Alligator mississippiensis: one gene and its partner. The protein of the gene in region 1 purifies or fractionates together with the protein of each later gene. This does not show direct contact. Links are inferred from orthologs where the notes say so. Each region holds a gene or a part of one and is shown in the gene's direction. Other genes may lie near its edges. The genes, in order: RPTOR and MLST8.

The links.
Region 2: the proteins of RPTOR (region 1) and MLST8 purify together in Homo sapiens (affinity purification with western blotting; 15 studies listed by BioGRID and IntAct, with this or other methods). This does not show direct contact. The link is inferred for Alligator mississippiensis from reciprocal best matches to the Homo sapiens genes RPTOR and MLST8.

What each region holds. Positions count from the first base shown.
Region 1 is NC_081831.1:1,244,399-1,260,072, forward strand, and holds the start of RPTOR (regulatory-associated protein of mTOR), read left to right. Parts: upstream 1-7,397; 5' UTR 7,398-7,686; coding exon 7,687-7,848; intron 7,849-15,674. UniProt on the Homo sapiens protein: Component of the mechanistic target of rapamycin complex 1 (mTORC1), an evolutionarily conserved central nutrient sensor that stimulates anabolic reactions and macromolecule biosynthesis to promote cellular biomass generation and growth.
Region 2 is NC_081836.1:57,908,490-57,924,342, forward strand, and holds the start of MLST8 (target of rapamycin complex subunit LST8), read left to right. Parts: upstream 1-8,513; coding exon 8,514-8,642; intron 8,643-8,676; exon of another isoform or gene 8,677-10,118; intron 10,119-10,900; exon of another isoform or gene 10,901-10,941; coding exon 10,942-10,993; intron 10,994-11,371; coding exon 11,372-11,534; intron 11,535-12,056; coding exon 12,057-12,132; intron 12,133-14,169; coding exon 14,170-14,322; intron 14,323-14,521; coding exon 14,522-14,646; intron 14,647-15,133; coding exon 15,134-15,297; intron 15,298-15,853. Other genes in the region: hexosaminidase D, read right to left, coding at 402-496.

The sequences.
Region 1 (15,674 bases):
AATGCTCAGAGAGCTCGCAACCACTGGCCTGAAGAAGGTTTTCACTATCAGAGAGCCGAGGCTACGGGGACCGAGTGCTTGACCATCCTGTGTTTGAGTAAATCAAATTGCTTTCATGTCAGCCACAATCTGTGAAATCAGGCATTCAGATGAAGACAGGGCCCTGCTGGCCTACAGCACGTGTGCCTTAGAAAGGGTGACTTGGCCACCTCGGCAAGGAGGACTGGCAGAGTAAAGACGCACACACACACACACACACACACATTATTTCAGCTTTGATGTTTACCAGATTTGGTCTGTTCACGAATCCCCAGTCATCAGTTTGCTCCGAGTAAATGCTCTGCCCTTTTCATCAGGCATAAAAGATAACAGGTATTCAGCACTGTGATTATGCCATCCCAGCCAGGTCTAGGGAACCATCATAACCTTGGCGGCACGCCTGCTACTGAGGCTATTGGTGCCCTGAGTATTTCTCCACTCAAACTAGCTACTGCGTCCTGAATTGCACTGGCACAAAGACCAATGTAGGAGGCAGCATGTCTCCTGTAAGCTGGACTGTCCGTGACTCGCCTTGCTTTGGGGTATAGGCACATCTTTATTATGTCCTCTCTGCCCCCAGCCCACTCCTAGCAGAGGCTACCTTTGTAGGAGGTATTACGTGGTGGGGTTGATTATGGATGATTTAGGGCCTTTATGGCTGTCAGAGGAGCCTCAAAGAGCCTGACAGTACCAAGGATTTCGCTCGGCCTCAGAAGCAGCTGAAGTTACTCATAACGTGGTTCTGCTTCAACACTCAGTGCCTACCACGAACCAGAAATCAGCAGGTCTACCCAGGGCCTAATCCTGACACCCTAAACAAGCCAAGCTAGGAGGATTTAGACAGGGTAGCTACGAGGGAACTGATGGGGAAGAATCTTCCTCCCCAAGCTGGAAAGAGGATCTGAGGCTTCCTCTGGTCAACCTACATCCAGATACGTCTCAGCACAGGAAGGGAAGTAGCAGGCAGAAACCCGACGCTCTCCTCATAAGCACCTAGCTCTGCAGTGCACGTAAACCTGCCGGCAACACCTGGTTTCCGGGTTGCCCGTATGATTCCTGCTGCTTGCACTCTCCTATGGGGTTGTCACACCAGGCCTGCCTCTCTGTGGGATTGTTCATTTCCAGCAGCACAAAGCAAATGCTAAATCACAACCGATCCTTGCGTGGCACAGGAGAAAGTGATTGCACAGGTGGGAAGGCCTTCTCCCAGCCAGTTACTCTAAAGCAGAGTGTTCAACCTTTTGGTTTAACTTGTATTTTCCCCCGCATGGCCTGGGGCTGTTAGACTGGCACAGTGAGAGAGATGAAATACCTTGGCTGGACTCCATGCTGCCTTAGACCTGGAATAGCAGGAGAGGCAAACAATAGCAAGAAAAGATGCAATTAGCCTTAAGATGCTTTGGCAGAGCAGTGTGGACCTGGACTTGGACTGCCAAGTGGAGAGCTTCAGGTCAAGACTGAGCTCCACTGGCCAAGAAGTGCTACCAAGGGAGACTGCAGGTCATGACTAGCAGAGCTGTGTGAAAGGTGTCTGCTGACAGCCTGCCTTCACGGCGTCTGTCCCTTGTCTGGGAAGTCAGGTCCTTTGTTCAGCTGCATTTTGAGGTTATTTCTTCAAAGAACAGCAACCCGGGGTTGCATACTGATCTCTGGTATTTTCTTGTCAGTTCATTTGTCTTGGCTTTCTTGCGATGCCCTGGCTTGCTGAAGGAAATCCAGCTCTCACACTCCTGGGGACAGAATGGGCATATTTATCTCTAAGTCTTACACATCCCCCATATGTACAGGTAATTACTCCTGAGAATTTACTCTAAGTAGGATTTATGTTTCCACAGATGTGGTGTATAAACAAGGGGACAGACATTAGGTTTGCAGGGAAGAGCATTGCTAACACATGGTTGCACCATATGCTGAGTATGGATTTAAGAGACCGGAGTTTTATTAAAACGGGATATTTTGAATGTCTACTGTCAGGTTGTGGAGCAATGCTGACATGCTGCAGGCACTGCTTATTGTGCTCTGTAGCACATGACCCAGTTCCACTGCAGAGCAAAGCTGCAGGAGAACATTTGAGAACAACGGGGACGCATCCAACAGGCAGAAGCACCCATCAGGTTGCCAGGGACTGATCTGAGCTGCTTTTTCCTGTTGCACATTTGACAGCAAGTGGAGGCTGAAGGAAAAGCTGTAGAGACGGGTGTGTGTACCACATTTGCTTGCATATGTATGTATTTATAGGCTATTCTCCTAGCCTCTTCACCCTCATACATGTCTCACAAACACTAATGCATTTACCATCACAGTGAAGTGGGGAAGTGGGACTCTCCCCCATTTTAGACACCAGGAGCAGGCATGTGAAACGTGAACCGTGCATGTATGCAGACACCACTTGGACAGATGATTATCCAGGAGTGGGCGTTCATGGAGGAATGAAGTAGAAAAGGTGAATGTTGCTGTTATAACTGGGGAAAAAGACGTGCTACTGTTTGACAGTGACAATTTGAAGGTATTGTTTGAAAGTCATAGACACAGGCTCACGGAAGAGGTGCTTTAAAATTACCATTATTGGGGAACCTTTAAAATGGCCTGTCCCTGTAGTGAATCCATTTATATTCTCCAGTGTGGAGTGTAGCCAGAGGAAAGGATGCTTTCATGCTGCGTGGAGGGAACAGACGGAAGTATGACAGGCAGTCAGCCCGCAGGCCATGAACAGGTTTGATTTCAACACCAGTGACATTGTTAGCACCTGACAAATAATTGGCTGAGCCTGTGAGATGTGTACACTTGCCTCGATGGCATTCCTCCCTGTTGTTTGGATATTTGTCTTCTGTACAAAAGGCAGCAAGTCTGGAGTGATGCAAGTGATCGCATCCAAAATGTCAAGGGATAGTCTGAGCATTGAACAGCCCTGCTAATTGTTCTGGGGAAAACTGGCAAACCCAAAAGAGGGGAAAGGAGACACAGAGATCCTGGCATCTGCTTAGCACATCCACCGCTTCAAGCACCTCTGCAATTGTACATAGATCAAAGAAATGGCTGATGGCACCAATTAGTGCCTTCCAGCAGAAAAACACCTCTAGCTTAGCTCTGATCACCTCCTATGACAACACCTGCGTGTCTTATCTCCTAAAAAACAGAAGAGGTAAACAATAATGGTGGGGAAATGGGGAGGAGAAGGGAGGCATTCCCTGGCTGGTTGGGGAGGAGGGGGACACTGGCATGGACGGGAGACGGGAAGGGTCCCTGGCATGCGGGGACAGTTGGAGGGCTGTAGTGAGTCCCTGAAGAGGAGGGCGTTGTGAGGGTGACGCACCGAGGGCTTGAGAAAGGAGGGGTCCATGGAGCCCCTGCCATGCACAAGCTGCTCAGGCTGCAGAGAAAAGTATGTGGATCCTGGTAAACCATCATTTCTTTTAAGATCCTGGTGTGGCAGAGGTGCCAGAGGGGCCTCCCTGCACGCTCCCTGCCCCTCTGGCAGTTGTGCTCTTTGGAGGCCAGCTTTCCCTGCACGAATGGGAGCAGATGACAAGAGCTCTCCGCAGAGTCATTGACTTTGGGATATGCTCCCCGAGCAGGCTGTCAGGATTTCGGATTATTAACCTTCAGGGCACAGTGCGCAGCCCATCTGTTCATTCAGGCTTTTTGCCTGAGGTGGATTAGTTGTGCTGGGTGCTCTAGTTGTGATTTTTCAGGTACCGTCTTGAGACGGTTACCCTACTGCCTGCAATTGTATTATGACGGAAGGTAATCTGGCCGCACTGGGTTCTGATTTAAATGACAATAAAAATGCAAACATAACGTTTCATCGTGCCCTGACAATTAATTAGTCTTTCAATTGCATCATGACCACAAACCAGCATTAAATAGTCATAAACAAATGAATGAACTCAGAAAGCCAATTAATCAAAGCAATAAATCTCCCCCTTTAAATACCCCAGGGACCTAGGTTTTTTAGGGAATGTTTTTGTTCCAGCCAGTTGAGGGCAAGATGATGTTTCATCTTTTAAAAATTGTATTTGATGACTGCAAATGCACTTGGAATTGTAGGCAAAGTGCATATGGCTTCATATATCAAATTATGCAGATGGATACAACTCAGATGTAAACCTGGGTGCGCTTTGATTGAATTGCCACCCGGGGAAAACACTCCGATAATCAGGGCTGAATAGCCCCATTCTTTATTCTGAGTTTTGAGTATAGTCAAGCTGATGATGAAGGAACAGTTTTGAAACTCTCCACCTGGTTTTCCTCTCATATTTACTGGTGTAAATCATGAGGAACTCTGCTGAAGTCAGTGGGCCACTGGCTCCGTTCCCCTGCACTTTGTGCAATCATTTGCATTGGTGCAAAGTGAACGTAACAGGTGCAAAATGCTGTCAGATCAGATTCATGTCGTGTGCATTCTTGCTGCAGTGGTGTAGGGCAAAGGAGAATGGGGCCTGACAGGGGGATGCTGGTGTGAAACTAGTTAAGGCCAGTGACTTGAAATTATGGGTTTAACTTTTAAAACTCGCTTTAAGGTAAAGATCATCAGGAATATCTGGTGGGAGGGCAGCTGGTCAGGAAGGTTTGGTCTGCTGTGGGATTAGTGCCTAGGCAAGACTCAAGTAAATCATGTGCTGCCTTTGTGTTTGCTCCCAGGGCCCCCATGGCAATCATCGAGCCTGTGTACTCTGTGTTCCAAGGAAGCAATATCACGGGAGGAATGAGGAGGGCATTGCATCAAACAGCTGCTGCCAAAGAGGCTCAGACTGAAAATGCATCTTGGCGGGACAATGACCAGGAGTGACTTAAAGGCCCTGTGAGCTGACAGCCGGTTTATCAGTTTGGCAGATTTATTAGAATTTCTGTAGTTTCTGTTTCTTTCCCTCACACCCGTCCTGAGAACAAAGGAGACCTCAAGGTCTTACTCTTTCCTTCCACAGCCCAAGACACGATCGTAGGCTTGCCTTCTTTTGCGCGTTCAGCTGTTTCATTATGTTATTTTTTGCATTGTGCATTGCAGAAGCCTGGATCATATGAATGTATTCCAACCCAGTCAACCATCTCAGGAGCAATATTAATGCATGAGCTTAAATCTGAGTGTTGTAAATCTAAACTACACTTCAAAATGCACCTTGCTCCCGCTCAAAGGAGTGCGTTTAGGGAGCAAACCCGCTCTTTTTGATGCACAGCTTATAAAAAAGCAATGCTTTAAAAAGTCCCTCATTTCTACAATTGCAGGGACCTTCTGGTTTCATCACAAAAATCCAGTCTTGTGGTGGGAATCCTTCTGGACTCTGCATTTGGAGAATACTTTGTCCCATGGGAATAAGCATTGCCATGATGAATCCCAGCTACACACCTCCAAAATACCGTTTGTATCTGAGAAACTGATCATTTCCCCTTGACTAAATATAAAGCAAATTCCGTGTCAGAGAACTTGAAGTGCTACTGGTCCTTGGCTCCAGGCTCCACTGCCCACCCCACGAGCATGTGCCGTGTGTTTTCCTGACACAATTCAAAAAACAAGGATTCATTCCTGTTAGCATTGTGTTTCAGACACATGGGCCCAAATAGTGTAAATCAGTGCAACATCCATGGAAGGAGCTGTACCTATTCACATGAGTGGTGGATAGGGCCTTTACACATAGCAATAGGATCCCTAGTATTGCTGCTTTCTCTTTCCTGAACAGTGTGGAATTAAGCTCCTCAGCCAGACGTAGCTGGTCACACTAATACTCTTCTCAAAGCTGTGCTGACATCAAAGACCTTGGTGCTCAAAGATGATTTGGTAGATGAGGGATTGTGCATTAGAAGTAAACAATTTAGAACAAAATGAATGCAGCAGCCATGACATGCTTTGTGTCTAGCCAAAATGAGGAAGGGAAAATCCCCGGTGTTTTCAAACAAAAAAGGACAACATTGGTAAGAAAGAAAGTGAACATGTTTGAGTAGAAACATAACAAATGGATACTGATTAAAAGCTGTTTAAAAATTATTTCAGTCTGTGTGTGTGTGTGTGTGTGTGTGTGTGTGTGTGTGTTTTATTGAGTCTTGTTCACCTTTTCTTGTTCACCTATATCTACTGGTCCTGGTTTCTAGAGCTGTAACTTCAGTGGGGCTGGGACTGTCTTTTTCTTCTGTATCTGTACAGTGCCTGGCACAGAGGATGTCTGGTTCCTGACTGGTTTCCCAAGCCGGTCGCTCCTGCCAGTCAAATGATGACTGACGATAACAAATATTGTGAGTTTATCCTCGCCAGCCAGGCCAATGAGCCATCCAAGGGAGAGTCCCCTCTTTAAAGCGTTGGCTAGACTAGTAGCTGCTGCATGACATTTGCATTTAAACCCACCATTATAAAGGACTGTACTCGCTTTATTACATGGATAAAATGTACCCCTCTGCCAGAGGCCACTCAGTCCTGCTGCAGCCTTTGAGCTTCGTGGGAGGTGCGGAGTCCATGAACAGACTCGACGGCTGGCGGGTCAGGAAAGCTGTCTTCACGCAAGCAGCACCAGAGATGTGCACGGCTATTACTCCCTCCAAATTACACCAGATCATCGTAGCCTCCCGGGGGGACAGCTGCTCGCTCTCGACTGCCTTCAGAGGCTGGCATAAAAACACTGACTCGTGGGGAAGGCTGACTTGGGGAAACTGAGGCTGTGTAAAAAGCAGAACAGCGACTGCGCCACCAGCCCCAGCACCTTTCTTCTCTTCCTGCCGCATGAGACAGCGCTGTGCCCGGTTCTCAAATGGGGCGCTCGTGTCGAAGCACTGCTGGCTGGGGACGCATAGCGGGCTTCAAGCGGGGGGAAGTCTGTATTTGAAGGCCTATTGCAATGGCTCCAGTGTTGCCAACTCTCAGGCTTTTTGGTGTTGTTCTTAAAGTCTACGCTTCAGGAATGTGAAAAACTTAGCTTTCTTTTATATATATATATAAAGAAAGATAAGTTTTTATATATATAAGAAAGTTTTATATATAAAAACTTAGCTCTTTCATATATATATATACACATACATATGTGTGTGTATCTATCTATCTATCTATCTATCTATCTATCTATCTATCTATCTATCTATCTATCTACACATGCCAGAAAGTATATATACACACACACACATATCTATCTATCTATCTAGATGTGTATATGTATAAAAGAGATAAGTTTATGTATATAAGAAAAGTTTGTCTATCTCGAAACTTGTGTCCCCGCCGGCCCGGCCGAGCCCGCTGGTGCTGTTGAGCCCTGGGCTGCTAGAAGGGCGGTGGAGGGGAAGGATGCTCCGGTCGCCATGGCAACTGCGGTCCTCTCCTCCCTGCCTGGCCCGAACGCGGCGTGTCCCGCGCGCCGGCCCGTAGCCGCGCTGCATGCCGGGCCTTCCCAAGATGGCCGCCCCCGTGTCGTGCTGCTGAGGGGAGTTTCGCCGCCCGGCGCCGCAGGACAACTCCCCCCGCGTGTCGCGTCGCAGCAGGGGGCTGGGGCCGCCATGGGCCGAGCCCGGCAGCTGGCCGGCAGCGCGCGGGCCCCGCGGGGCTAGAGGCGGCGGCGGGAGGCCCCGCTCGGAGCCGGGGCCCGACCAGGCCTCAGCGCCCCTCCGGGAGCATCCCCACCCCCCCGGCCTGCCCGCCCCACGGTGGAGGAAGGGCCCGGCTCGTGGCCCCCGATGGAGCCCGAGATGCTGCAGTCGCCTCTGCTGGGGCTGGGCGAGGAGGACGAGTCCGACCTGACGGACTGGAACTTGCCCCTGGCCTTCATGAAGAAGCGGCACTGCGAGAAGATCGAGGGCTCCAAGTCCCTGGCGCAGAGCTGGAGGATGAAGGACAGGGTAATGAGGGGCTGGGGCAGGTGGGAGAGGGCGCAGGGGTGTCTCGGCCCGTCTCGCCTCGCCTCGCCCGCGTGCCGGCACCCGTGGGAGCGTCTCTGCGCCGCAGCCACGAAACACGGGTGCTGACAGCCGGCGCGCTGAGCGCGGGCGCCTCTGCCCCCGGGGCCGCAGCGACGCAGCAGAGGGGTGCGAGCACACGGCTGCACGTGGCTTCTTCCTTACGGGGGAAACGGGGGTGTTCCCGCGCAGCCCGGCGAGGGGCTGCCTGGGCACCTTCTGCCCCCCCCACACTCACCCCTGCCCCCCACATGCACAGCCCTGCCCCCCAATACCCCTGCTCCCCACACACACACCCTTGCCCCCCCACCCCCTGCCCCCCCACATGCACACCCCTGAGCCCCCCATACCCCTGCTCCCTACCCACACCCACCTCCTGCCCCCCCACATGCACAGCCCTGCCCCCCAATACCCCTGCTTCCCACACACCCTCCCCCTGCCCCCCCACACACCCACCCCCTGCCCCCCCACATGCACACCCCTGAGCCCCCCATACCCCTGCTCCCTACCCACACCCACCCCCTGCCCCCCCACATGCACACCCCTGTCCCCCATACCCCTGCTTCCCACACACCCTCCCCCTGCCCCCCCACACACCCTCCCCCTGCCCCCCCACATGCACGCCCCTGCCCCCCACACACCCTGCCCCCCCACATGCACACTCCTGCCCCCAACACACACCCACCCTCTTCCCCCACACGCACACCCCTGTCTCCCACCCACCCCCTGCCTCCCACACTGGGTGGAGGGCACCGCGGTGCAAGGCCAGGGGGCTGCTTTCTACTTACATGATTTATAGTGGTGCACTGATAGAGATTTTGGGAGCTGATACCGATAGCTGATTTTTAAGGAGGCGTATCGGCTCGTACCGATCCGCTTTCCGATGTGCTTGGAGAGCTGCGTGCAGCTGGTAAGTCTGTCTCAGTGCACGTCTAATTATTTGCCCATCCATGTGTACAGATGGGTCCTGGTACAAAAAAGGTCGTGAACCATGGTTTTAAACAGTGCCTACGAAAGCAGCGCTTTTGTTAGGAAGGAATTTAAATTAGTAAGGTCCTAAATTAGTAAGGTCCTTGAAATGGAGCTCTCCAGGTCCCTGGGTTTCTGGTGTGGGCAGAGTGCGCAATAAACGCAGGCTTTCTGTTTTGTGAAGTTATCCAGTGGCTGATAGGTGCGTGGAAGGCTTTACTCTCTTTCCAGTATGGTCCAGGGAATATGGACAGTGTATTCTTCCCAGAGTAATACGAGCTGAGTGTTTAAAAGGTGGAAAATGAACTGTTAGATTCTCAAGCACTTTCACTTGTCGGGGCAGATCATATTCTCTTGGCTGAATCCACTAAGCATAGTACCAGGTATTACACTGATGTTTCTCTAGCTTGTATTGGGTAACATCGCAGTTAGCAGGAAACCTCTGGGATGTGATTTCTGGTATCTCAACTTTTCTGGTTAAATGTTAAGCCATCAAAGGTCAGGATGCCTTGGAAGGGAAAATATGAACCTGATGTACTGATAGCCCCTTCTGTGATCTGTAGACTTCCTGAGGTCTTGTAGGCATGCTGCCCTTTCCTGTGGGTGAGCAGTGGCTGTCTCTCCCAATCCACAACCATCTGAGGAATTAAAAAAAAAAAAAAAAAGCAAAAATTGCTGAATGAATATTATAATCTTACAAAACGTACTGTAGGCCATTCTGATGTAGATAAAAGTAAAAAGACCTTTTGTTTCCTAATTTCTTTGGTGCTCAGATAATCCATTTGTGGTGTCCTTCTTCGTAATAATCTTCTCCAAATGTCCTTTCTCATACACTGATTTCTTTGTGGTGTTTAGCTGACTTATTTTTTACTCCTGTGCGTCATGTGAATGTCTGGGGTCTGATGGAGATTGGGGTCTTATTGCCTCTGCCTTAGAGATTACAATGGACAAGGTGGACAGTGGGTAGCAAAAATGGAGATAATGTTCAAATAGAATAGATGCTAAAATGGTGGCAAACATCACATTAGTGTGATAATATTTTTGGATGGGGTGAGTAGTAGCTGGAAGGGAGAGAAGTAGAGAGAGAGAAAGAGAAGGACGTAAGAGGTAGATGTCAAGTGAGGCTAAGGGAGGGTCCTAAGTAGTAGCATAAGTGAGAGAGAAGAGGAATAGGTTATCCTGGGTCTCCGTTGAACATGCTTCTGCAGCAGCTCTGTCTCTCTGTGTTTGGCTCTTTGCTGCAGGTTCTTTCCCAGAGGCCAAATAGTTGGGGATGAAGCAGCTCTATATAAAGTTCAAATGCAGACTTGGAGAAGGGATGGTCCCAGCTGAAGCTGGTCTCATCCCCTCCCTTTCCCATCTCTTGCTCCCCACAACGGTTGACAATTCCAGGTGCAACAGTCCTTAAGCTGGACTTGCAGCTGCCCTTTTGTGCTTGTTAAACACTGCATTATACTTTTAAGTATGTGGGTGTTAACATCATGTCCTGCTTCAACTTTGATTTATACTGTATTGTGTATTCAAATCAAGAATAAGAAGATCTTTCTAGTTTTAACTACATATACAATTATTTATTCCTTGCCTTAAATTGTTGCTTTCTGTTGTTGTACACTGTTGAATATTTGTAATGTTTCATCGTGGAATTGACTTCTTCAGCAGTAGATAAACATTTATATACAGATTAATAAAAGACGTGAAGCACTTTGGGATGGAAGACACTGTCTGAATGCAGGGTTGTAATGCATGTCATTCAGCAGTGCTTCTACGTTTCTCTTTTTGTCCCTTCACAGTATCTGATGAAGGAAGCTCTCTGCTTATGAAAGCTTATGCTATATGTCTCATTTCAGTTAGTCTGTAAAGGTGCAAATCTACTCTACCTGCTGCCTCTCTTTCTAACATTCATTTTTAAATAAGGAGTCTAATTGTCCCAAGTTAGCTATCTAAATAAAGAAGATTAAAAACTTTTACAGTCAAGGATTAATGCTGCTAAATTTTACAGAATGAGCGTGAGCTCTCAGATGCTAACTAAATGGTCTACTTATTTGGGCTTCTCGTGGGAGAGCAGGGTTACTGCTATTTTTTTTTCTGATCTCTCCTCTTATTCCCACTTATCTTTAAAGTCTTTATGCAAAAAAGATTTTTCAATCAAAGGAAAATGGATTTCCCTCATTTTCCAAACCAGATAGTCTGGAATTCACATTTTTATATGGCTCTGAGAAAGGCAGACAACTTTTTTGTGGCTTCTGCCTTTCTGGCCTTGATGCCCAGCATGGTACTTGTTTCCACTTCCTGAGATGAAGCAGCCAAAACAGGACATTTACTTGCATGCAGGGCTGATTCTTAGAAAACCCTTCCTTTCATCCCTTTCTTTTAAAAGCTGCTTGGATATTTTCATGGTGGAATGCTTCTTACACAGGTGTTGGATAGTTGGAATATCAGACATAGGAGCCTCTTGTGACACTGAGTCTAGTTCCCTGCCTTGGCAGGCAACCACATCACATAATCCTGTGTATAAATTAACCAGGTTCCATCTTATAAGTGGTTAGGTTCTGGAGCAGCCTTCCAGTAGGAGTATTTTGGGAAGAAAGACCAGTTTAGTGACTTTTTCATTTCCAGTCTAAGTTTATTTGTGGCCACGTTACCCTGACTTATTTTTTGTTGTTAACATCCTTTAGCTTAAACGTTTCATTTTCCTCTCAGATTTTGACCCCCTAAATATATTTATCTAGAGCAATCCTTTACCTTCTTAGCCTTTTTCCCTCCTTTAAACAGTGCTGTCCTTGCACAGTGTTCATACGTGTGCTCAATAATTGTGTCCTTTGCCAAACTTACCAGTGCATCTTTATGGAGAGGCGTTCTCAGTATGCCAGGTATGAATGACGTAAGCCTTTTTTGCATTCCAAAGTGCAAATCCAGATGATAGACATACAAAAAAGTAGAACTCTTGGTTCCAAAATGATACCTTTTATTAGACCAACTGGAAAATGCCAAGAAAACTGTCTTTTTCTGCAAGCTTTCGGGATCAAAGTCCCTTCATCAGGCTCTGACAAAGGGACTTTGATCCTGAAAGCTTGCAGAAAAGGACAATTTTCTTGCCATTTTCTACTTGGTCTAATAAAAGGTATCATTTTGGAACCAAGAGTTCTACTTTTTTGTATGTCTTTTTGTCTCAGACCAACACGGCTACCAAGTCCATCCAAATGATAAGCACTATCATGCAAGTTCCTGCCAGGTGCTGGGAGCTGAAATTGTTCAAAGGCATAAATACAAGACAAAAGGTATACATAGCAAGTATGAAAGTAAGCTGTGTTCATTAGGGGGATGTGATTACTGTTATAAGGCCTGAATCTTAAATTTGTTTTAGCAAAACAAAACTATTGAAAGCCCCCCAATTCCAAACAATCTTATCAGTTCTCCACAGAGGGTGCATCTTAGGCAAATTTCACATGTGTGGCGGGAGCAGGGCTTGTCACCGCTGGTTTGTCATTAACTGAATTCCTGAATGTGTAGGTTGTTCTTGTCAGTCAGCTGTGCCTGTCTCCTTGATTCCTGTGTGCAGGCAAGTTAAGAAAACGCCATGAATCCTGACCTCCTGCAACCCCTGCAGGCAAGACTCCTGAGAAAACTGGGAAAAGTGGGGCATAATGGCTTGCCTGCCCCTGTAAACCAGAACACGCAGCTAGTATGTCTAAATCTGTGTCTACCAATATTGTCATGTGCTCTCTAATGAAAGACACTCTGTAACATTTAACAGCAGAAGTCTAGTGGGGCAGTTCCAAGTTATGAAATTAAAGTAATTGCTAATCTAGAAGGGGGAAAGGAGACTAAAGATATTATTCAGTGTAGAACATATTTTTTATTTTGTGACATTTCATATTTGTACAAGCAGTTTGTAAAATAAAGTGATGGAGATATTTTTAGTTTAAGGTTTGATGGCTTAGGAGTGACAGTTTCTGCTCCATTTCACCTTCTTGGTGGTAAGGTAGCACATAAACAAGAGACTGAACGGCAGTGGGAACTGATCGGTTTTGCAGTAGAAGCTCTTTCCAAATACCAGTTCTTGCGTTTCAGCAGCGCATTTTGTAAGAAGCTCATACTACCTCTGTCTGTGCTATTCCAGGCCTGTGGTTGAACGAAAAGACTTTGGGTTCTGATGCTGTCAACTGAGTACCTCCCATGAGCCTTAAAATGAAGAATCTGTAAAAATGGACCAAAAAAGACTACAGGAAATTACTGCATGCACATGTCCATTTGGAAAAGGTTATTGACTTCCTGATGAAGGCAGAAGTCTGTAGTTCTTATGTAATTAAGAGTGAAAAGATCATTGAAATGTGAGCATTTACAAAGTGATGTTTGTGCAAAGAGCCTCTGAAAAGTCAAGTGCATTAGTTAACGGTTCATCACCACCTGCCAAACCTTTCAAGAAGCTTTGGAAATATTTTTTATTTGAGTTTTTTCTCCTTGGTTAATTCAAACTGTTTAACACATCTACTTCTGTGTTTAGCAGCAACAACTATGTGAACATTTTGTCTTACCAAAACATTTGTGCACAAGTATCCTCTCTGAGAACAATGTAATGCTGGAAGTGGAATATGTCAATTAATTGTTGAAGGAACACTCAGTATTTGATTTTCAGATTGATGGATAACAAGTTACTGTTCTCAAAGCCAGAAGTCTCATTGTTCTGCCAGACCAAGTTTTCACCTAATAATGAAATAGACATTGAGGCTTCAAGATCAGAACCATTGTTAAATCTGGCAGAGAATGCAGTCTTGTGTATCTTGACAGAGGAGACAGTCCCTTTTGTACTGAACTAAGGGCATGAGGATCCTACACCTCTCTCTTGTTAAATTCACGTTGGCTGGGGTTCTTTGGAGCTTTGAGCTGACCTTCTTTCTTGGTCTACAGGGCTGGATTGCCTTGACCTAGGGGTGAAACCAGTCCGATTGAGTCATCCAAAACCCATTCTCTTCAACTTACAGGTTGTGCACAAATGAGAGTGGCTGCAAATACAGGTCTTTCTACCTTATAAATAGGACCACCTCTTATCAAAATGGAAGGCGTGGTTTTAATAACTATCGAAAAATAGTTGATTAATCTTTAAGGGTCAGATTCCATCATCCTTCCTCTCCTGGAATGGCCCTGTCTTCTTCCCTAATGATCCTCAGTGATATAGATAGAGCTTTTCATGGGGAAGGTTGTAACTCATGCACCAGCATGGCAATAACCAAGCCTGGGTAAACTTACCTCCAGAACATTAATCGATCTCTATGTCTCTGTGTTTCTGTGGAAGAGAGGAGCAGATTTTGAATTCTCAGTTTAAGTAGCTGGTTTTCTGAACTGTGTGTGTTGTTGGTGCAGCTACAGTGAACTTTGCCACTTTTTCCTTACCTATGGGATGGTTTGCGTGTTGATGGTGTCCCTGTGTGTCTTGTTAACTTTATCTTGGACATATCTGGCATTCTTGTGTGAGCTGCTTTCCTGGCTTGAGGATGGGGGTATATGGATATAAGTGAGCAGTTAAAATACATGATGATTTAGGAACTGTTTATCTTCTCTATTTCTCTCTTCTCCCTCCATTATTAAGAGAAGGTATCAGGATTTCAGATATGTTTTAGACTCTTTTTTTTTTTCCATGGCATTAGTTGTCCCTCAGCAACCAATTGTGATATTTCAGATGCTAATTAGGACTTTGAGTAGTGAATAAGAACCAGGAATGGATCTTAACCTGCCAAGTACTTTACGATTCATTAAAGGAATTGACATTTATTAAACATTCACTCATCCCTTTCCATCTAGCTGACTGAAGTCAGATACGTCCTGGTAAGTTATAACATCATATAATCTATTTTGACCTTGCAGTGGGTGAACAGCAGTGGGGAAAAAAACCAAAAAATCAGACCAGTTCATATCGCCAGGAAACCGCATAACAGTCAAGGCTTATTTTCAGATATGCTACTAGTGTATCCAGAAAAGCAAGTGCCTTTTATATGATGCAGAACACTGATCTTTATGTTTTCTATATAGCACCTTTCTTATGTGAAATGTCGTGGGGTAGTTAATGTACAGATGGGTTTAACCATTAATGCTTAGTAATAACTCACATGAGTAAACAGGCTTTGGAATCTACTTTAATGAGAGGGGGAATGATGGTTGGGAGGCTCTGGTTCCCCAGGCTCTAGTACTTTCCTTTTTAAGAACCCTAGGGAATCTTTAGGTTCCAGCAAAGCAAAAAGGAAATTATCTCTTAACATTTTCAGAGCATTGTGAGGCCAAATGCAAAAGAGTTCTGGGTTTTGAATTCAGTTATGTGTAGGTAGTGCACATTGAACCTTCAGCTTTATTTGGAAAGAATCACTGGAATTACAGGTTGGGATTTCCAAAAATGCCTAAGTGCATTAGGAGCACAGGTCCTATTCACATGTGCTATGACATGCAGTCTTTTAAGTGCAAATGAAAATCCCATGCCAAGTCTTTACTTTATTTTACCAAGATTCTAACTGTGCTAATAAGCATACCAAGTACACAGGTTAGAGATATTCATCTTTCCCCCAATCTTATAGTTCTAGGTTAAACGTTGACTTCAAAGCCACATAATGTTTCTTATGTGAAATAACATTATGGGATAACATTTTAAATTAGGTGAAAACTGCAAACAGCAATAAGAGAAACTGAGCATGTACTATATAGCTGCTAACCTTACTCTAAAAAGGTAGGTTCATCTCAAACAGAAGAGCAACATGTCTTTCTGTATTCACTAAGTGTATCATGAAAGCAGATCCACCCCAGCAAGAGCATGT
Region 2 (15,853 bases), on another chromosome or scaffold:
GACAGACGGGACCGTAGGCTCAACCATGTTCCTAGCTCCTGCAGTCACTGACACCCATGAAACCGGGGACCCTCTCCCCCGAAACGGCTGCTGCTGCTTCTGGCTAGTCCAGAGCAAGGCAGGGGCCCGTCTCCGTGTAGCCGGCCCGGGAAACCATGCGCTCGAGCGGAAACCAGGGGGGCAGGAGACTACCTCCAGCTCAGAGCCCTCGGCTGGAGGTAAAGTCCACCTTGCTGCTCCCTCCTCGTCGGGGCAGTGCACCCTGCTCCCACCCCCGGCAGTAGCTGAGGCTCCAGGGGTGGGCACCGCTGGAGATGGGGATGGGGGCAGCTTCCACCTGCAGATCAGGAGCTGCCTGGGACCCCGGACCGAGCATCCGCGCCACGCCAGCCCCACCTCACCTGTCTCGGAAGAGGAACTTGATGCCGGCCAGGACCACCACGAGCAGCACGGTGAGGCGCAGCAGGTGCAGCTTCTGGCTGCGCTTGAAGGACATCGCTGCGGGCGAGCGGGCAGGGAAGGGCTGAGCCGGGGGCACGGCTAGGCCAGGGGGTGGCTTCTCCCACCCCAGGGGAGCAAGGCAGCACCCCTGCAAGCCCACAGCCCCCACTTCCACACAGCAGACCCAGGCTCGGACCCTTCCCCTTCAGGCACCTGGGCCAGCACCTCCCCTCTCCCCCTGCATCCGTGGGAGGATGCCTGACCTGGGTCCCCCCCAGTCTGGGCAGTGCAGGGACTTGCCCTCCACCCCACAACTGGGCTGTGTGCTAATGCACTGCCCCAGCCTCACCTGGGCAGCTCCTACCTGGTCTGGCGCTGGCAATGTCAGGGCAGGTTTACAGAGCAGATGCCTGGCACGGAGACCTTTGGACCAGCACTCCCCATGGAGGGAACAGCTGGGCTGGCACGGGAGGGAGCCCCTGGAAGACAGGAAGGGGGACAGTGAGAGGGCTCGGCCATGCTGCACCCACTCCGGCTGCGGGCCCGGACCGAGGACAACGGACACCGCCGGGTGCTGGGGGCCGCAGCTCTGGACCTGCCCCCACGTCTGCTCTTTCCCTACCCCGCAGGAGTGGCTTCCAGAGCAGGATGCCCTCAAGCCGTCCAGCTCTGTGTGCCACGGGGACGGGTCGGGCCTCCAGACCGTGCACCAGATCCCCGGAGCGTGAGTGTGCAAAAGCAAACCCCCTCCCCACCCCCTCAAGGCTCCCCTCTTTGCTGCTTCTCCTGAGCCCTCGGCCTTCATGAAATGCCCCCGATTTGCAGAGCCCGAGCACCCACCTGGGGCTCACGAAGCACCTGGGTAGCAAGAGCCGTGCGGGGCTGTCTGCCGGCCTCCCACCACCAACCCCCGTGGCAGCAACAGCCTTTGCAGCCAGGGATCCAGCAACTGCCTTATCACCAACCAAGCACCTGAGCTGTGCGACTTCCTGCCCACGCTGGGTCAGGTGCGCCCTGGAGATACCCACGGCGCTGACTGGAGAGGGAGCGGGGAGAATGGGCGCAGCTCAGGTATTTGTACAACGCTGCCTTGTTCACACAGCAAGGGCGTGCAGTACCCCGGGAGGGGCGGCTGCAGCATGGGTGGGACACACACCGCTTTACTGGACTCTTGAAGTTGTGCCCGGAGCCCCCAGCTGAAATCAGGGCTGTGTGCATGCATGCACGCACACACGCGTGTACCACCGTGCATGCACGCATGCCTCTGTGCATGCACGCACGTGTGTACCATGCATGCACGCACACCTCTGTGCATGCACACACGCGTGTACCACCGTGCATGCACGCATGCCTCTGTGCATGCACACACGCGTGTACCACTGTGCATGCACGCACGCCTCTGTGCATGCATGCATGCACCCATACATGTGCACGCACCTCTGTGCATGCACACACATGCATGCCTCTGTACATGTGCACCTCTGTGCATGCATGCACACACACAAGCCTCTGTGCATGCACACACACACATAATCAGGCCTCGTTCCAAGTCATGAGGACAGGGGCAGAGGCAGGAATAAGGACCCAGGTGTCCGAGTCCCCGTGGGCCGCGCTGGAAGAATCCCCGGCCCTCGTTCACCCTGGAGGCACCAGCACAGCTCGCCCTGGTAGCACCTGGCACTGCTGGCTGCCCGGTTCTTTCTTCCTGCAACCTTGCGGGCCCGCTGCCTCCTTGCCGCATTTGCAACAAGACAAACAATGCCAAGGGGGACAAGGCGGATAAAACTTCCTGCAGGCTGGGAGCACGACTATGCCCCATAGCACTGAAGTGTTGCAGCATTAATTGACAATTTGGGTGTGAGCGTGTGTGCCCAGCGAGGCCGCACCCCTGGCAACTGGCTCTAGCAGAGAGGGCCAGCTGGGAGGAGGGAGGAGAGGCTCAGCCCAAATCTGTGGCAGAGGGAATTGAACCCTCCCCAGCTCCGGAAGTCTCGGACCTGCTCTGCGGGCAGTCCCAGCAGGATCCGGCCCTGCAGAAGGTGCCTCTGGGGACACGGCAAGCCTCGCTGAGTCACAGCACTTGGTCATGGCAGGGCTACAGCGGTTGCTGCAGAAATCCTGTCTCCACTAGGTCCAGCACCCAGGGCCAACCCAACCCCCTTGCCCCCGGGGACAGAAACACCCCCCGGCACTCACTGCGTCGCCGCGTCCAGGGGATCACGACATGCACCAGACGGTCGCCCGGGCCAGTGGGCAAGCAAACCCACTCGGCTTGTCCCTGCTGCCCGCAGAGCGAGCCACCGGCCCGGCCGCACCTGACCAGCGGCGCTCGCTCTCTTAAATAGATCGAAGCGACTTCAGCAGGGGAGGAAGGGAGAAAGCGCTTACACTCCTGCACGCACTACACTGCACACACACACGTGCACAAGCACAGCTCCCCCCGTCCCTGTCATCAGGCCAGGTCTGCGGCATGCCTGGGAGGGACGGGGCCCTCATCAGCATGTAGGCAACCTCGAAACCGAAAGCAAGAAAGCATCCGGAAAACTGCTGCGCGCACAGAGAGGCGGGGAAGAGCCTGAGCTGTGCCGCACGCAGCCGTGCATCCTCCAGAGGATGCTGAAGCAGAAGAGCCCTTTGTTCTTGGCTTCGGGAAGCCGCGGACACAGCCCTGCAGGGAAGTCCCGTCAGGGCACAGCAGCATTCGCAGGCTGCCCATCAGGGCAACGTCCGCACAGCGGCCCCCGAGCTGTGGCAGAACGGCGGTGGCACGACCTAGAAGCATCCTGGATTTGTGCCAGACCCAAAGCAGAAGCTTGCAGGAAAACCCACCGTCCTTTGGCCCTGCACCCCCCAGGGCCCCCGCACAGCTACACACCCAGGAGGAAGTCAGGGGCCCTGGGTGCACGTGGCCGTCATCGAGTCTCCTCCTTTGCACAAGTCCTTGTTGTGCAGCGAGGGTGGATTTACCCCGGGAGCTGCCGTCAGGGCGCTCCTTGGAGCCGGGCCACCCTGGAGCGCCAAGCCGGATGCAGCCACCTGCACGACCCCGGACCCCTGCGCGTCGCGAGAAGCCGGGGGAAGCTGCCAGGTTCAGGGATGCCAATACCAGACGTTCGCTCTGCGCCCGTTCACAGGCCTCTCTCCGTGTTTCGCCGTCGCCAAGCGTCGTCGTCAAGAGGGATGTCCTCCAGGCAGCTTTAATTAAGCCTAGTGGCCTCGACACCACTCCTGGCACACGGATCCGCTGCGCCCATTAACCAGGTGTCGCACAGTAGCACCGAGGGCTGCCAGCTGAGCCTGGGGCCCCGTGACGCTTGGTATTGTGCACGTACACACCTCCCCCCGGCTCCCTTCTCCACAGGCTGCAGGACAGACAAGACCAAGGGCGAGCAGGGCACAGCGCCTTCCAACTAACCATCCAGGGAAGGATGGTGAGAGACAGGGCAAGGAGCGTCACGGGGGCAGACGGAGCCAGACGAACCCGATACGTCCCCCGAGAGCCGGCGCTCCGGGCAGAGGAAAGGTGATCTCGTTTATCCGGGCTTGGGCAAAGCATGTGATGGGGCGCCACTGGGGAAATGATTAATCAAGAGCTGGGAGGGCAAGCAGGGCACCAAAAGGGAAGCCAAGAGCAGGGGAGTTCCTCCCAGCTCCGTCTGATTCAACATTTGCATTCAGGACCTGGGCACGAGGCGCTGCCGAAATCTGTGACCCCACGTGGCGGGACAGCAGCCCAGACCTGGGCGACCTTGAGGGCCGCGGCCGCAGAAACAGGAGCAACCCAGCAGCAATAAGTGCAACGGGCTGGGAGCTCGCCAGCTGGAAACCACCGAGGAGGAGGAGGGTCTGGGTGTGCCGGGGTGGGAGAGCCACGCTGCACGGCAGCGCATCTCCTCGACAGCCAGGGCAGTGGCGGTGCCATCGCACGAGGCCCTGGCGAGACCCTGCCTGGACGCTGCGGACCATTCACTCCAACCGTGCCCAGGAAAGGCGCGCTCAGCTCAGGGAAAAGGGGATGGTGGAGGGCAGAGAGGAGGTGAGGAGCTGGGGCAGCCCAGGGATGCTGCCGGCACCAGGACACGTGGGGCTCTGGCCGTGAACAGGCTCCAGCTGGAAAGCAGGACAAGGGGTCTCCCTTCGGGGCAGGAGGGGAGCAAAGCTCAGCCACATTTAAAAACAAGCCTCGAGCAGGTCAGCACCAGCCCTCCCGCCCGAGCTCGGCCCAGGGAACGTGCTCACCGATGGAGACGCCGGGGTATCAGGGGTGACTCGCGAGGCGAGACCTCGCCGATGCCCTTGCTGGATGGGAGCGTGCGGAGGACGGGGGTCTTTATGAACTGGGCAGGCCCTGCGGCCAGGATGCTCAGGAGCAGGGAGGCCGGGCTCAGAGCCTCCTTGCTGTGGCTCAGGCTGCACCAGAGCTGCCCATCCTTGCACGCCAGAGCTGGATCTGGATCAGCAGTCAGAGGACACAGCATTGCTCCCAGCTCCTCCCTTCGCAGGCAGCCCTGCGCTGTCCGGACACGGACAGCCTGCTGCAGACGGCAGCCCCGGGCGCAGCCACTTCCCCCCGGCCAGGACAGCGGTAGGCTGGACTTCTCCCAGGGCTGCCCAGAGAGCGGCTCACGCTGCCGGGGAGCTTGGGGGCTGATGCTCACACAGGTGCAGGGCTTTGCCAGGGAGCTTGGGCATTGGTGCTCATGCAGATCCACGGCTTTGCCACGCATCCCCCTCCCCAAGAGAAGTGCAGCCTGGGGTACGAAGCACTGGCACAGGGGCTCTATCTAGCCCGCAACCTTGCTCCAAGGCAAGGGGAGGCACGTGCGCCCCTGGAAGGGCTGAGGACGCACCGGACACCGTCCGCCAGCGCGGGCAAGGGCGCGGGGACCCGCGCGGATGGAGAGAGCAGCAAGGGAAGGGCTCCCTGGCACAAGGGGCAGCTCAGCCCAGCTGCCTCCCACTGCTCTGGGGGGAGACCTTCCTCCCCTCCCTCTTCCTTCTCCTCCTCCTCCCCAGCCCCTGCACCCCCAGAGCCTCCTGCAGCGCCGGGCAGCCTGGCCCCAGCCCCGTGGCAGGGCTGGCACCAGGACTAGCCGGGGCAGCAGCGCCCCCGGCCCCGGGGGGCTCCGCCTGCCCCTACCTGGCAGGTGCAGCCGGGCCGGGCTGGCGGCAGGGAGCACGCGCGGAGCAGCCGGAGCCGGTGGCATCGCCCCGCAGCCGGGCGCACGGAGCCGCCCAGCCCCACTCTTAAAGGGACCCGGATCGGGATCAGGGCCGGGCTGCAGCGCAGGAGGGGCCGGCGACAGCTCCCTGCAGGGCTGCCCCGGGCATCACTCACACCTGGGCAGGGGGCTGCAGTGCCCATCTCTTCTGCACGCACAGCTTTGGGCAGGGATGCCTGCTCTAGCAAAGCCCTGCCCGGTCCCTCCAGGGCTGCAGCACCTTGCACCCCGGGTGCACTGATCTTTGCAGCCCCCCTGCTCTGGCGGTGGCATCGCAGAAGGGCGCGGCGGCTGCTCATGGTCCCACCAGAGTTTGGGGGTGCCGCCGGGAACTGGAGAGGGGCGTCCCGAATCCGCGGACCAGCCGTCCTATGCCTGCTTGCAAACCGCCACCATGCTTGAACCCGCACACGTTCGAAGTGGAGAGGTGCTTCCCACCCAACCCAGCCCAGCCCAGCCCCGTGGAGCCAGCCCCAAACGGAGCATGGGCCAAGGCGAAGCAGAAGCGGGGAAACACACGTGTGGAAACATGCCTGCAGCGCGCCACCGCCTCCAGCAAACCCTCCTAGGCCTAGTGCAGCAGCCTGTTATCAAAGAGGTGCGAGTTTAGTGACAGATCGCTTTAATTTTGCATCCGTGCCGCACTCCCTGCCTCGCCGGGGCTCGGCGGAGATGCTCCGAGCGCCGCTGGCGCCACCAAACTCTCGACAGAACGATATTTTCCTGGAGAGAAATGAACGCTTCCCATGGGGACTTGGCCCAACTCGCAATAAAGCCTCTCCGATTCCAGGGGAAAGCCGTTCATCATAACACTGTCTGCACCACCGGGCGGTTGTTCCCTTCGGGAAGCGTGCTCTGAATCTCAACAGCGATACCTGTGCGCGAAGGAAAACGCGGAGACGAGGCCGGAGACGCGCGAGGGAGGGAAGGAGGGGGACCCGAGCCAGCCCTGACGGTCCAGCACCGTGCAGCAACCGGACCACACGCATCCCTTTACCGGCGCCCATTTGGAGGGCATCAAACCGCATATCCTGGGTGCACCCGCGGCTCGGACCGAAAGGCTGCAAGCTCCTAATTGCGGCCTTGGATCAAAACCGGTGTAAACGGCCGGCCGGCTCTGCGGGGGGATGCTGTTAGCAGAGATGGAGGGGAAAATGTCCTGCGACAAACGACGCCCGTGTCCCGGCATCCGCCGTGCGGCATCTTCTCGACTCGCGGCTCAACCTGGCGTTTAGGACGCCTGGGCTTTGCTCTGCGGGGCTTGGAGCCGGTGCCCGGCGAGCTCTCCGCGGCCCACGTCGGGGCTGCCAGCAACAGCGGTGCACGCGCCCGGCGCGCCAGGGCTGCAGCATGCATGCAGCACCCTGCCCAGGGGCTTCCAGCAGGGGGCAAAGGTCATGGGCGACCCCCAGGCAGCGCCCCCAGCTGGTGCAGATGGGGCCAGGTATGGGCTGTGCCCCCAGGCTGGGCATGGCTGCCCTGGGCAGCAGCCCCCATGCTTGCCTGGATCCCAGCCCCAGAGGGTGCCCAGGGCCCCAGCACCCAGGCCTGGGCCACCCCTGCCAGCTGCTGCCCCGGGCGCGGTGCACGGCGCTGCACACCCCGCGAGCAGCAGCGCCCCTTCCTGGGGATGCTCGGGGCTGCAACGCGGCACCCACTCCTCCCCCCCGCGCTTCGGCACCGCTTGGTCGCGCCCGAGACTCCGCGCATGCGCGCTCCCTCCCGCGCCGGGGACAGGGCCGGGCACCTTGCACATACGCACGCGCTTGCTGGACGCGCTCGTGTCCCGCCCCAGACAGGCACCCTGTTTCTGCGCATGCGCCTCGTCGCTGGATGGCCCTGGGGCGTGCTCTGCGCATGCGCGACGGTGCTCCATCTCCGCCCTCGTGTGTCCGCAGGTAAAGGGGGGTGCCCCTCCCCCCCACCCCGCGCGGCCTGTGGCCCCGAGACTCGTGCAGTGTGGGGGCGGGGCGGTGCAATAAGGGGGCTGTTGCAATAGGGGGTGGGGTTGTTGCAGTGGGGGGGTTGTTGCAATATAGGGGGTGCAATAGGGGGCTGGGGCTGTTGCAATGGCGGGGTTGCAATAGGGGGCAGGGGCTGTTGCAGTGGCAGTGAGGGGTTGCAATGGGGGGCTGTTGCAATATGGGGGTTGCAATAGGGGCTGGGGCTGTTGCAATGGCGGGGTTGCAATGGGGCGGTTGCAATAGGGGGCAGGGGCTGTTGCAGTGGCAGTGAGGGGTTGCAATGGGGGGCTGTTGCAATGGCGGGGTTGCAATGGGGCGGTTGCAATAGGGGGCAGGGGCTGTTGCAGTGGCAGTGAGGGGTTGCAATGGGGGGCTGTTGCAATATGGGGGTTGCAATAGGGGCTGGGGCTGTTGCAATGGCGGGGTTGCAATGGGGCGGTTGCAATAGGGGGCAGGGGCTGTTGCAGTGGCAGTGAGGGGTTGCAATGGGGGGCTGTTGCAATGGCGGGGTTGCAATGGGGCGGTTGCAATAGGGGGCAGGGGCTGTTGCAGTGGCAGTGAGGGGTTGCAATGGGGGGCTGTTGCAATATGGGGGTTGCAATAGGGGCTGGGGCTGTTGCAATGGGGGGTTGCAGTAGAAGGGTGGGGCAGTTGCAATAGGGGGGTCCGGAGCACTGAGGTCTACCTGGGTGACCTGCTGCCTGGGGTAGGCCAGGGCTCGTGCGCAGGTGTGCCTGGCACCCCTGTGCAGGAGTGATGGGGGCGGGGGGAGATGCTCACCGCGTGTGCCCTGGGTGGGGGCTGTGGTGTCCACCTCTGTTGAGCTGGGGCACTGCTGGGATCCGCACCAGTGACCTTCTTTCCAACCCCCCCTCAGGCCTCCGCCATGAACACCGCGCAGGGCACCGTGGGCAGCGACCCCGTGATCCTGGCGACCGCCGGCTATGACCACACGGTGCGGTTCTGGCAGGCGCACAGCGGGATCTGCACCCGCACCGTCCAGCACCAGGACTCTGTATCCTTCTCGCGCCTGCACGGCACGGGGCCTCCAGCCCTGGCGCCTCCGACGGGTCATGGGCTCTGGTAGGGCCGGAGAGCCCTGGCGTTGGTTTCGCTTCCCGCGTAGCCTGTCCTGAGAGCATAGAAGGGATTGCCAGGACCCAAAGTCCGGTGGGGCTGGCAGGGACCTGCAGAGGTCACCTCTAGTCCAACCTGCTGCCTGAGGCAGGATCAGCCCTGTGCAAACCATCCCAGACCGATCCATCGTCCAGCCTCCTGGCAAAGCTACACACCCCCACCCCAACACAACATATCGCACCCTAACATGCCATCCATATAGCAGGGGGACCGCTGCAGCCAACGTCCTGCTTCTGCGCAAGGTTTTAATAGCTGCTCCAGAAATCCCAAATAGAGGCCACAGCCCCTGCTACAGGGGAAGAAAGCCCCCCTCTCCCATCCGTAGCAATCTGACCGGGGGGCAGAGTTCCTCCCTGACCCCAATGCGGCGCCGGTCTGACTCCGAGCGGAGGGGCGAGACCCCCTAGCTTGGCTCAGCTGTAACGCACAGATCAGACTCTTGGTCTGAGCTTCGATCCGGGCTCTCGTCAGCAGCTGAAACCTCCCAAAAGCTGCGACGGTAGCAGCGATTGAGTCGTGTCTTTATATTGTGTGTGTGACATTTGTAGCATGTCAGGAAACGGGCCTGATGATGCCAAATTGGAGGAGACGGCGGAAGTATGGACCACAACTGAGTCTGAGTTAGTTTGGTGGGTCAAATAAAAAGGAAAAACCCCGTCCTACCTCTGCGCGTGTGCCCAGTAAAGAGGGGTGGAAAAAGGGGTTTTGTAGGACTTGTCCAAAGGTGGGGTGTTTTGCCCTCTCCTGACCATGCCATGACATTGCCTCAGACTCTGGTTTTCCTAGATTAGTGCAAAATCCTGACAGCCTCTTGCAGTAGTTTGAAGATAATCCCCGAAGTGAGGGGAATGGTGAATAACAAAGCGGACAGGCCGTGGTACGGGGCGATCAGGATTGTTGGTGAACTGGATACAGACGGGATGCTCGCTGTTCGACATGGCCAGCTTGACGTCAGGCTGGCGGGGAGGAGGCTCCTTTCCCCCTGTACCACACACGGGTGCAGCCCCTGCGTCCTGTTCTGGTGTCTGCGGCCCAAGGAGGCTGTGAATGGGTTGGGAAGGTGAAAAGATGGGCTGTGAGAGTGACTAAGGGGTTGGGGACACACCCGTGAGCAAGAAACTGCTGCCTGTTGAGCTTCAAGGGAAGGAACAGGGTCGCTGAGAGGCACCTCTTGGGTGGGCAGACCAAGGTCGAACAGGATCCGGAGGCTGGATTTGGAGCTAGAGGAACGAAGGCTAGAAACGAGGCAGAAGTCTTTGAAGGACTCACCGGTGGAACAGCTTACTGGTGGATCCTCCACCCCGAGCATCACTCAGCTCCCGGAGGGATGGTCTTCCTCAGTGATATTCTGCAGGTGAGACAAGAATGACTTCGGGGCGGTCCCTCGGCCCATGTCACCGGTTAGAGTAGAGCCTTTTGGTTCGGTCATGGGTTAAGTTGGTGGCTGGGCAGGGAATGAGCAGACACCACACAGACTGGTTTTCTGCTCCAATAAAAGCCCAAGAGAAGGGAAAATAAATAGGGGCAGGAGTCAGAGGACAAGAGTGAGGAAAGAAAAGCTGGAGTGAACAGTGTCTGGGAAAGGAGTGGGTGAGAGAGTGCAGATTCGTTGCCCCCGCCGCGTGCACACACGGTCAGTGAGCCAGAGCTGCTCTTCCTGCATCGGGAAGCAGGCCCAGCAATGCCCTGCATCTGTCGTCTCTTCTGAGGGTCCTTCTAGAGCCTCGTACCTTCAGGCCCTCTGACCGGGGCGTGGGGCAAAGCAAAGATCTCTCCGTGGTTAGACATTTTCCTTGCAACAGCGCCATCACGGCTTAGCTAAACTTCAGAGTTTGAGGAGACGCGGGTGGCAAAGGTAGAGAGGAGCCGTCAGCGGATGGTGTTGGAGGGGAAAGTGCGTAGAGCTGGAATCGGGCCAGGCCTCTGTGGGGCGGACAGAGCAGGCCGACGTGTCTTGCCGTGTTGGAGTCATCAGATGTGCTCTTTGGCGTGAAACGTCGGGCATGTGGTGGTGCGCCGAGCTTCCCTTTCCAGTCGAGATTGTTCCCAAAGAAAGGATGCCCAGTGAGAAGCCCCCGCTAGGCTGAGTTTTCTCCAGGCAGGGTGAATTCAAGGGAATGCTTTCTCCTGCTGCAGAGGTACTTGCTTGCTCTGTCAACCTTAACCAGCACCTCTAGCAAGTGAATGCTCTGGAGATCACCCCGGACCGCAGCATGATTGCTGCTGCAGGTGAGCCCTGCCCACATTCCCATACCCTAGTCGGGGGCACGCGGGGAGGAGAGGAGTGTTTGGTGGTTTCTGGCATTGGTTTCCAACTGGTGTGTGGTGACTTCGCCCTCGTGCATGCGATCCAGCTGTGGTGCCCCCGGCTACATGCTCGGACGTGCAGTTACTGCTCATGTGTGGCTCTCCGGGACTCACCTCCCTGGAGCCCCTACGAGGCGTGCGTCTGCTCTGGGACCCACAGACCCTGCTGGGCAGGGTGATGTGGGGACAGCCTGCCTTCTACCGAGGTCGGGTGGCCCTTCGCAGAGGGGGCTTTGGCCGGAGTGTCTGACACCTGCCACGTGCATCTGGGTGCTCGCTCATTGTCATTCTGGCTTCCAGGTTACCAGCACATTCGGATGTACGACCTGAACTCGAACAACCCCAACCCAGTCATTAATTACGATGGCGTAAGCAAGAACATCACCTCCGTTGGGTTTCACGAAGATGGCCGCTGGATGTACACGGGAGGCGAGGACTGCATGGCCAGGATATGGGACCTGAGGTACCCGCTGGGGCCGGCACTGCTCCATGGGGGTTCCCTCCTGGGACGCATCTCCTGTCTCCGTAAGCCCTCTGAGCCGTGACCGTAGCCGGCAGCCACGGGGCAGTACCCAGCTGGGAGACCTCCAGGGGGGCCACTCAGAACGAGGGGTTCAGTGTCTTTCCTCTGAATCAGTATTGCACCGCTTCTGGTGCTCAGAGGCTGCTGGCCGGTGTCATGTGGATAAGCAGGAAAAGCCAGGTCCTGTCCATTTGTGATGTTAAACTATTCCCTGGCACTTCTGGTGTAGCCCAGGGGTCCTGGCTGGTTTGGGTGATGGCCTTCTGCCTCCCTCCAACCCCTTTGGAAGTTGCAGGTGGGGCGGGCAGGCTTCACCTCCAGCCCAGCGCCCTTGCATGCAGTGAGCAAGCCCTCTTCAGCACCTGCAGGGGCGGCAGGGAGCTGGTACAGGCCCGAGGGAAGCAGGAGATCTCATTGCAGCCGCTTCTCTGACTCTTCTCGTTTGTGTTCATTCTGTTGCAGGTCACGTAACCTTCAGTGCCAACGTATTTTCCAAGTGAATGCTCCTATTAATTGTGTCTGCTTGCACCCTAACCAGGTAAACGCACACTGTTCTGCGCTTGCTAGGCTCGGGGAGGCTGCTACAGATGTTCTGCGTCTCCCGACTAGAAACCTGACGGGCTACATGACTGGCAGTCATTGCAGAACATTGTTTTTTCTAAATGGACTTGTTTTCCACTCTGACAAGACTTGAACTTGCTAGGCTTGAGCTCCTGTCTCGGCATTAAGTACCAGACACGGAAGTTGGTCAAAATTGAAAGAGTTTCCTATATCCGGCAGCTGAGAAAACCCCCTGAATCCGTGCAGAGAAGGGTACCCTTGAGTACGGGCGGGTGATGGAAACTCGTGATTGCTCGGTGCTGCTCCAAGCACTAGATGGTATCACTGTGTGTGATTCTGTCATTTATTACCTGAGCGCCTTGCCTCTGGGTCCCGTGAGAGTATCTGCCTGTTGACTTAGGTTGAACTGAGACCTTGGGACCTGCTCCGTGGAAGTGCGTTCCCTCCCACTCTGCTTGCGAATGCAAAACCTCCCTTGGGCGGGAGGATAGAAGAAAAAGGAACTGAGAATATAGTTTCCCTTTTCAGTCTTAAAACAGGATTGCCCCTGGATTCTTTCGAGGACAGAGCGGCATAAACAGATCTACAGATCAGTCCCTGTTTCTTGTAGCAGAAATGTTTAAGTTGCACATGCTGCAGTGTGCTTTAATTCCTGTTACTATTGGACTAAGTGCCCCTAATTCCTATAATAAGGGAAAACGGAATTGGTGTTGTCTTTTGCTCAGCTCAGTGAAAATCGTCCCTTCGGCTTCCCTTCTGTCGCACAGCTCACTTGTTGCTTTCACATCCTTACGTGCCAGCCCAGCGCTGCAGCATCTGGGCTGCAAACAGTGCAGCGAAGGATTGATGCGTCTTGCAAAACAAGCTGTTCCTCTTTTAAGAGGACAAGCTGTGGAAATGCTCCTTTGGCTTTAGGCCTCATGAGCGCTTTAATTTTGGAAGACCCATGTTTTACTTTAGATCAGACATGACCTTTGCCTCATTAGCGCTAACAGTTGTGCGGTGTCGGCACATCAGGAAGGCTGCATGTATCGGTGTCAGCTACGTGCAGGAGTTTTGCATTTGAGAACGTGGCCAAGCAGACACTGCCGTGTTACGGCCTTTATTCTGGAGTGAATCGGACTGAGTTGGGGATACCTGTGCGGGGTGTCGTCAGCCTGAGCAGCTCACAGCTGCTGTCAAGTACTGCCAGGGGTCGTTATAAGTGCAGTGACCTCTTCTGCAGCTGTGTCTACATGTACTAGGAGGGGGCAGCCCCCTCTCAGGATTCAGGGTGCAATCAGCATTGCAGGTGGCCAGGGAGGGACCTCTGCCCTACACACTGGACTTGGGTATGTTTTGGGCAGTGGTCCTCTTTCTCCAAGGCAGGCTGTTACTCACTGGTGGGCACAGGACAAGACTGATCCATGGTCCAGTGCAGTGCAGCACATCACATTAACAGCAATATTGCTGGTGCACACCACTGATAACAGCCACAGTCTTAATGAAGAGAGACAGTGTTGTGTAGTGGTCTGAGCACATGACTGGGAGCCCAGGCTCCTAAATTCCAGCTGCGGCTCTTGGTTGGATCTGCGCCCTGACTGAGAAAGTCACGTAGGCCATAAATGCCAGAAGGATCCATTGAGTTAGAAAGCTTCCATTGCTGGGTTTTCAGGGGTGCCAAGCGTGGCTGGCTTTGGTGGGTCTCAGCTGTAGTCACAGCTGCTGGACAACTCTGGAAATTGGGCTCAAGCGTTCTGGAGCTGGGCCCAGAAACTTAGTGTACACTTCTGAAAATGCCTCCCTGGTTCAGTTTCCCTGTCTGTAAAATGGGGATAAGGCTTATTTAGATTGGATCTGCAGCTGCTTGCACATTCTTACCACGCTGCAAAGTGCCGTCGTCCTGACGACTGTCTGGGCAGAACAGGCACATCTGGGCCAGACCGATGGCTGCACTGGATGCACTTAGGTGCAGGCACTCTCTGCACCGCCTTTTCTGTTTCCTAATTGCAAATTGTGACTTGGTGCTTTGCAGGCTGAGCTAATCGTCGGGGATCAGAGCGGTGCTATTCACATCTGGGACCTGAAAACAGACCACAACGAGCAGCTGATTCCTGAGCCAGAAGTTTCTGTCAATTCGGTTCACATCGACCCTGACGCCAGTTACATGGCGGCTGTCAACAGTTCAGTGAGTCCGACTGGAGCCCTAGGAGAGGAGTAGCCAGGGCTGCAGCAGTTCTGCCGTTCATCCTGTCGCAGGCTTCTCGGCACGGCCGTTGCACAGAGCTTGCTGCACGCTGGGGCGGGAGGGGGTGCTTGTGGCTGGTGCCTGCGTCCCTCGTGCCCCTTGCGGTCCAGCCTAGCAGCCAGCTCCTCTCTGTCTGCAGGGGAACTGCTACGTCTGGAATTTAACCGGTGGCATTGGGGAGGAGGTGACTCAGCTCATCCCTAAGACCAAGATCCCGGCACACAACCGCTACGCTCTCCAGTGCAAGTTCAGCCCCGACTCCACGTGAGTGCTGCCAGCTCGCTGCTCTGCCCCAGCCTTGAACAAAGCCGGCCTTTCAGACCGGGTCTCAGGAGACCGACGGGGCCCCCAGCTGCTGATGCAGCTCTGGCTTCGTTTCCTCCTCCCAGCAGCAGGAAGCGGAGAAGGCAGCAGCTGAGCGATCAGTCTGGCCTCTCGCCTAGTGCCCGGTTGTTGCTTCGCGAGTTCGGCATGGGTAGCACGTAGGCTGAGGAGCAATGCATTGACTGCTCTGAGCCCATAAACCTGGCCTGTCCTTTTCTCAGCCCTGTGCTTCACAAGAGGTGGGGCAAATAGTAGCCCTTCTCCTCCAGCATGGGGGCTAGCCTGGGGGGTCTGCGGCTCCTGGCCAACTTTGCTGTCTCTTTCTGGGCCCCACAGTGTGTGTCACGTTTCCAGAGCCACCGCGGGGAGCATCCCATGGTAGCAAGGAAATGAATCCTGACCACGCTCCTACATCGCTTCCCTCCAGGCTCTTAGCTACGTGCTCTGCAGACCAGACCTGTAAGATCTGGAGGACTTCCAATTTCTCACTAATGACAGAACTGAGTATCAAGAGTAACAACCCAGGGGAAACCTCCCGGGGCTGGATGTGGGACTGTGCCTTCTCTGGGGACTCGCAGTACATTGTCACCGGTAAGATACTGGGGCCCCCCGTGCAGCTGGCTGTCGAGCCTGGATGGGGCCACAGGGTTTGCTGGTCTGTTGTGGGTGCCTGGGGATTTGAAAGGCAGATTTTCCCCATCAACTCCCAAAGGCGCCTGTGGAGCTGGGAGGTGGATCCCTGTCCTTCCCCTGCTCTGAGCAGGGGTTGGACTAGATGACCTCCTGAGGTCCCTGCCAACCCTCACTTGCTACGATTCTGTGAACACACGTGAGCTTGTATGGGCACACTGCTCTGCTGCGTGTCCAGCTTAACTCCCTTTGTGTGTGGGCATGTGGCACATCTGCCATGTAATAAACTGACTTTACTGCATCATAGGGCTGGAGTGAGCACCCAGTGCACAGCCCAGGTTCACAGCAGATGGCTCAGGTGGAGGGTAAACATACCACTCAAGAAACGTGCTGCGGCTTCACTACATGGGAAAGTTACTGCCTGGTAAAGCAGACAGACAACGTGTTCTGCGTGGTAAAGTTACTCCAGAGTAATATCCAGGGTAAAACTCTATGCAGTAACAAAGGTAGCGTCTGT